Bombyx mori: one gene and its partner. The protein of the gene in region 2 purifies or fractionates together with the protein of the main gene of each other region. This does not show direct contact. Links are inferred from orthologs where the notes say so. Each region holds a gene or a part of one and is shown on either strand. Other genes may lie near its edges. The genes, in order: proton-coupled zinc antiporter SLC30A1 and protein-L-histidine N-pros-methyltransferase.

Region 1 (3,838 bases), on a different chromosome or scaffold from region 2:
AAGAGTGAGTGTTGAGATGACGGCTGATAGAAGAGAATGGAATAGAAAAATTCGATGTGCCGACCCCACCTAGTGGGATAAAGTGGAGACAAAAAAGAAAATTAATCGAAGATACATAAACTTAAATAGAGTTTGGCTACTTACCGTGAAACAGAAAAAGTCCTATAATGTTCAACAGTAGACCTAGACTGCCGACAGCGACAAGGAGTTTCGGGTTATGTATGACTTCGAACTCTATAAACCTCTTAACGGCCTCAACTGTAATACTGAAGCAAAGAGCCACCAAGAATACTGCGTTCACGAGAGCGCCCAAAACTTCAGCACGAGCCCAGCCGAAAGTGTTCTTTGACCATTTCTTTGGTGACATCTATAGGAAACGAAATATTTATGGTTATTTGTAGGCACACAAGCAAACAGCCCATCTGATGGTAAGTTTTACTGATGGTAGGACCTCTTGTGAGTCCGCACGGGTAGGTACCACCGCCCTGCCTATTTCTGCCGTAAAGCAGTAATGCGTTTCGGTTTGAAGGGTGGGGCAGCCGTTGTGACTATACTGAGGTCTTAGAACTGATATCTCAAGGTGGGCGGCGGCATTTACGTTGATGTCTATGGGCTCCAGTAACCACTTAACACCAGGTGGCCTGTGAGCTCGTCCACCCATCTAAGCAATAAGAAAAAAAGCAGTCAGCGGCGCTCGTGGACATCAGCTATGCCAGGGCTAAGGCGATGCTTTCCGAAACGTTCAAAGACCTTATGATCTTATGATAACTAAGTGGTGCGTTTATTCAAGTGACAATTTATAGGTAAATGTACACACTAATTTGATGCTCGCATTATCAACAGAAAAGGGGATTGCCCACTCTCCATAGTGTGCTAGGCCCAAGATGGACATCAAATATTACTATAAAAATGTACTGATTCAAATTCTTAAATGTATTGGATATCTAAAAAATATATTGAAATTGACGCCACTATTATAAAAAATATAATAAAAATAAAAACTCGTTTTGAGGTTAATTTTCTATATAAATAAGTGTCGGATTGTGAGATACTTCAAGAACTTTTCTTTTCTTAATGTTTAAGATGTTCCTAATTTATTTTTATCCAATAGGGTATAAAAACACACTTAATTCTTTAAATATCTATATTTTCTTCATCTTCATACACAATTAGTATCATCTAAAAATAGCAAAGGAGAGCATATACACGGTTTTAAATCTCGGTCAGGGTAAAACCACAATTCACACAATGTTTTTTAGTCGTAGTATGAAACGTTATTGATAAAAGTAAAATAAATCGAAGAAAAATCAAAACAAATCCATTTTGTACGCAAGCACAACACCACAAGCAGCAAGCGAAGTGTCAGTCAGTCAGATTAAATTCAGTGTTGTCAGTATAAAGAAAAATAATTACATGAAATTCATATATCGATTATTTTTTTAAATAACCGATAATTGATTTATATCTTAATCTTTTTTTTACGAGTACACATTATTTTTTATGTTTTTGTTTTAGTTGTACATATTTAAATAACAATACTAGTAAAGTTTTTTTTATTGCTTAGATGGGTGGGCGAGCTCACAGCCACCCTGGTGTTGCTAAGTGGTTACTCGAGCCCACATACATCTACAACGTAAATGCGCCACCCACCTTGAGATATAAGTTCTAAGGTCTCAAGTATAGTTACAAGTTAAAGTCCAATGGGTATGTCTTCGATGTTATTTTATGTGCATAAAATCCATTAAAATCGTTTGATTAATGATAATACTTAAAATGATTTATTTATATGTTTTATTTATATACTCAAAATATTTACTTCATACGTAAAAGGATTTGAAGCTGGCAATATTTTTCCCGCAAAAATAAAAATCCTTGTTTTTTCAATAGAGTTACTTTTTTTAAACTACTTATTGTAAACTGTAGTGGCGCTTATTTGCAAGAAATTAAATGCATATTTATTTATGACAAAATTAATGCACTAAGTATTTTTTCTATAATCTATTGTCCGCTTTGGGCCGAAAATGGGCCATCCCCTTTATGTCTTTGCCTCATAGGTTTAGTGACTTTAACTACAGTATCCGCGAGGCATGCATGCAACTCCGGAGTCTGTATTCTTGTTAAACAATTTCATGATAGGCTTATTGTCTATTTGTTCTTGTCTCGCAGTTTTCGCAAGGTACGCGATGTAAAGAATATTTTAGGTATTTTTTTTACACCATGGGTTACATTATTGGAGTTTTAGTAAGGATCCCTAATTTTTTCAAAGAATATTAAAGCCTATGTCACTCGGGAATAGTGTAGCTTCCAAACAGTGAAAGGATTTTTCAAATCGGTTCAGTAGTTTCGGAGCCTATTCAATACAAACAAACAAACAAATCTTTCCTCTTTATAATATTAGTATAGAAGTATAGATAAATATTTCTGTTTACACATATACTTTCGAAAATGAGTAGGCTTTACAGTTAACCGTAAAATAATTTTATACAAAAAAAATAGAGCACGAATCAAATTAACATGAATATCCTTAAACAAAAATGGTCACGTGTGATTCATAGTTTCATTTTAAATTGCAAAATCAATACGTGATTTTTGGCCAACAATTGACACAGCAATACGCATATTATTTAAAATATCACCTAAAGTAGGTCGTTACGAAATCTGATCTTCATTGATTTTATTCAGTTCTGAATGCACCCATACAAAATTATCTTTGCATTGTGCAACTAAGAATTAAGTACTAATCTAAATACGTATCGATTGATAATGAATCGGTGACCACCAATCACGTGTTGGAATGTGATTAACATTGACAGATTTATTAATAGATAAGCGAGCAATTAAAATGGATTCAACGTTTGGTTTTTGACTGGCATCGATAACTCAACGAGCGGTCTACCTAGTAGTGCATACATAGATAAAATCCAAATATCTGTGTGCTTATTGCGAGTTTTTTAACGTTCTCGATAGCGTAAGAGTTAACCCAATTTTGTATGCAGTTGAAACAGCGCCCCTAACGGCAAACGTAGGTAAACGATCCCATTCCATACAGCTAACTTTTACGCTATCGAGAACGTTCAAAAGCTCGCACTAAGCACACAGAAAGCGAATATTTCCGCAAGCCACCATTCGAAGTGAGGTCGAAAATCCCATGATATCATGCTGGAACATACCAACCGCATATAAAGAATTCTCTATCTTGCGACCTCTTCTCTTCTGCGATGCTATAAGCTCTTGAGTATCAACTATACTATCTCACAAAAAAATCACAGGATATTTTTGCGGTAGAGATAGACAAAACAGTAGTATTTATTTATTTAACTTTATGAACAAAAAGACTGTGACGGACTTAAGGTCTCTACCAGTCAAAAACTGATGTAGAGAGTCCTGTGGTATGTGCATTTCTTTTTGAGAGTAAGAGAAAAATAATAATAAAATATTATATATATGTATATAAACACATACACAGTATTGACACCTGACTGCTCATATGACACTTCCTACTGCAAGTAATTACGGTTTTTTTTTAATTACATAATATATTAAACTGGGCCACATTTTGTTGACAATATCTAAATTATATAGAGCACCAGTGATTGTCAAAGTTTTACTGTCGTACTAATTTTACAGATTTAAAAATTTTACAGCACGCAAAGGAGAATATAGGTTTGAGAGTTGTTTACTTATTTTTTTAAATACACTGTAAAATCGTTTTTGACGATAATTTTGAATGTAAAATAATTAATAACATGAATATTTTAATGAAAAATATCTAGATTTCTAAAGTTTGGCAGCACACAAAAGTGTTGCACATTGGTTGAGAATCACTGGTATACACAAT
Region 2 (3,838 bases):
TACTGGTGGCCCGGAGGCCTTTCCAGTTTCACCATGTCATATTTCTATTACAATAGATTGTTTTTATCGATATTTTGAAACATCGATAAACTCCCAGCCACGCGTGAACGACACGAATTAGTTAATTTGTGCAGATACAACACAATGGATGAGGAAATAATACATGCGTTAGTATCTAAGTACATACAGCTACCGGGAGATTGTAATTGGCGTAATTGGACGAATCTGGACGCACTTAATAATGGACCATTGTCGTCATTCAAATGGCAATTCATCGTTTGTGAAAGATATGATTCATTACTTTTAAATTAAAAAGTATGGATCTGCTGCTTGTATTTGATGCGACGTACGTAATAGAGAACTTGCATTATATGGAACCTCCGAGTCTACGGAAAGAGGTCTCTTCTTCTACGAGGAATGCTTTGAGCTCATGTCCTGGCCTTTTTCAATATTTTACCAAACTTTAACAAAACAGTTTATGCGTAGATTATATTTATCGCGTTTTTTGAAGCTCGGTTTTTGACAGCGTTTATACTAGTCAGCATGATATAGTTATATATTTTGATCAAACGATCACTGGACATTGTTTGAAACATGAGGCAGACGCATGCATGCATTTGTCATTGCTGATGCCCACGAGCGACTATAACCGATTAGGACATCGATATTCAATAAGAATTCCGATTAAATTAAACTGTGTAGTTTTAAGATTAGGAAAAAATTAAGTTCCAAAAAATTACCCATTGATGTCGGTTATCGACCAGAAACGTTTCAAAACAGCTTTGGCTAGAAGATACCAGATCTGCGTCCAGACCCAAGACGACTTCTCGATGGAGGCAGAGAGAAATTGTTTCGTCTCTTCATCAGGGTGAAGCTGGACGAATTTTTGCTGCAGCTCTGGACTTAGCCGATCTCGATTCACTCGGTACCACTGTAATAAATAATTTAACTTTATTCCTGAACAATGAGAATTTAATTGTTTTAAAAATCGAATCGAGAACTGGCTTCAATTATATTCTAAATAATGTTTCATGATGATAGGTAAGACAAATTACAAATGAGAATGGTCATTACGGCTAAGGTGCATTAAGCAAATTGATGTTTAACAAATCTCAGGGCCAATCTTAACGAAAGACAGAAAAATGTAATCGAGTGCAAATAAGATAGCACGAGAGGAGCTTGTAGATCGTCATCCGTTGTGTGTTTAACTCGGCCGCCGCGGCCCTAACAAAGGGCATTGCGGCCGCTGTTAATTTCACGCTGCCTCGAATTAACATTTCTTTACGCCACAGAATAATGACGAATTAAAAAAAATCCTCGCCTTTACATGTAATGACGGCGCGGCGAGAGACCGGGAGCGCGGCGAGTCATCAGGCCAACTTAATTAATGCCAGATCTGTCTTTGTATTACCTTAGGACGTACAAAAACTTTGGGATGTTTCGGAGTGTGAGTTGAACCAATCCATAGCTCGTATTCCTCAACAATAAAAAAACATTAATTTTTTATTTAGGAACGTGTTTTATTCCTTTCTTTGACTTTGCCGTATAATAAAACAAATAATTGTAATAAATATGTAGCGATAATGCATTTATTATTTTAGAACATACATTCGTTACGTAAATACTTTTATTATACATTCTTCTTGGTCCAGAAGTATTTAAAGATAAATTGATGATGTCAAAGTTTGTAAATGTTATAAAGAGTAGTGTATAAACAACCATACGATTTGGACCCAACCCCATTGTATAATAAAATATAAAACCATCAATATCTAGAACATTTTACGACGTACCGCAAAAAAGTATCGTAAAAAATGAAGGAAAATAAATATTTAGTACCGAATACTGATAGCGAATCACGTTGGTGATTATGCAATGCGCCTTCTTTACATTTAAAATAGCCTGCATCGGAACCACGGGATTCGTCGAAGCGAATTCTCCAGACGGAATACAAATTGTGGAAAATTTTGAATTCTGAAACCATTCATGATTAAAGAATCGTCTCTGACGTCTATTTACTGTCCGTTCGTTGCTCAATATTTACGGTTCTACATAATTAAATAAAGAAAAAAAGGGCTAATGATCGTCTCATTGTGTACTATATTGTAAGAGTATATGTGTATGTAGTTTAGTTCTTTCGCAAATTTTATATTATTTATCTTATGTTTCGATTAGGGATTACGGCCGGGAAGCAGTCAAGCGTTCTAGTTTGAAGGATAGACATTATTTCAATGAAATTGACACCGAAATATCATGCCTAAATTTAAGCGGTGTCATTCAAGTTGCGATGTTTTTGGGACACGTTAACATCTTAAACATCACGACCCGCGAGCTTGTCACACCATTTACGTGAACTAATCATTAATATCGTATCTAAAATATAAATTAAACATTTTTAAAACCGCATTAACTATTGAGACATAACTGTGTAGTGTTAGTCGTGATAATATAGTCTATAGACTACACATCACTTGTTGTTTTGCTATTATGTAGATAAGAAGCACTCGGCCCGATTATTTATGAGACTCATGTTTAAGATTCATTTTCTGCTCGTGTAAGTTATATTTGCATGAATAACTATGTCCCCGCTTAAAAAAATCTACCTGTTAGGGAAAGACAAATCGACAATGATTTATTCAATCGGCGACTTATCGAGGTCACGTCAATTTTTATTTATTTTACAGACTATGTAGGTTACCGTTCTTCCGTAGTTGAAATGACGCATTAGAATCGGAATTAGGATACAATTTTGTTGTGTTTCGATAAATCTTTGCCCTTTTTCAGTTCGTTCAGTTCTTCAATACGTTCATTATGTTCTGTTATCTCGTTAACGCGGGTCAGTCGGGGTGCATCCATCGAAGGAGCGAAAGGACGAAGGTTCTTTATCCTCGGGTCGTTTGCCTCGAGCTAATGAATCAAACGCCTCTGTGTAAGCATATTGTCAATATGAAGCGAAATACTTAAGTTGAATACATTCAAGCTGCACAATGCCAGATTAATTCCCATTTAAATGTGCAAGATAAATGGTGCAATACCAAACGTCTTAAGACATTCACATTTACTCTGCCCTGCGGCTAGCCGTCCGCTCGGTCAATACCATCAAAAGATTGTACTATTTATATGTGTATTTTAATTTTAGTTTAATTTAATGTGGCTCAAAAAAAAGATAAAAAAATTGTAATTTTGTAATGTACTAGCTGTAGGTACACGTCCGCTTCGCTGGGCATTTTAAATTAACATTATTATTTCTCACCCCCACAAAGATTCTCATCATTAACACCCCCGCAACTGGAGTAGGGAGTCCAACACCCATATAAATATTTTAGCCTATACATTAAGTACATGTATTTTCTACATGGATACCGAGTTTCAAGTCAATCGGATGCATGGTTCAGTAGTTATAACGGTACATCCGTAAAAACCACTGTAGATTTATATATTAGTATAGATATAGATTATGTGAAACCAAGCACGGTATAGTAGGCGAGCTAAGTGGCGCATAGAATCCCAATGGATTTTCCAGTAAGCGGCTCGGAGGTTGTTTGCCGGGCGCTCCATTAAAATAGGATCAGCCGGGATGCAGATCGCTTGGACGTATGTACGTACCTTCTGCAGACCGAAATGCTGTACTCAGAAAAATGGATGAAACAGGAACATGAAAGTCTGAAGATTTATTTCATTGCACGATTCTATCGCATTAAGGTTTCAAAGAAATTTAATTTAAGGCATTGTTTTTAATAGACTTGATTTACAATTGCGTATATAACACGTATGACTAAAGAGCAGTGATGCAGTATGCAGGACCTCTTGTGAGTCCGCACGGGTAGGTACCACCACT

The links.
Region 1: the proteins of protein-L-histidine N-pros-methyltransferase (region 2) and proton-coupled zinc antiporter SLC30A1 purify together in Homo sapiens (co-immunoprecipitation; 3 studies listed by BioGRID and IntAct, with this or other methods). This does not show direct contact. The link is inferred for Bombyx mori from reciprocal best matches to the Homo sapiens genes METTL9 and SLC30A1.

Annotation. Positions count from the first base shown.
Region 1 is NC_085119.1:13,207,659-13,211,496, forward strand, and holds part of proton-coupled zinc antiporter SLC30A1, read right to left. Parts: intron 368-3,838; coding exon 145-367; intron 1-144. UniProt on the Homo sapiens protein: Zinc ion:proton antiporter that could function at the plasma membrane mediating zinc efflux from cells against its electrochemical gradient protecting them from intracellular zinc accumulation and toxicity.
Region 2 is NC_085117.1:14,603,426-14,607,263, reverse strand, and holds part of protein-L-histidine N-pros-methyltransferase, read right to left. Parts: intron 932-3,838; coding exon 741-931; intron 1-740. UniProt on the Homo sapiens protein: Protein-histidine N-methyltransferase that specifically catalyzes 1-methylhistidine (pros-methylhistidine) methylation of target proteins.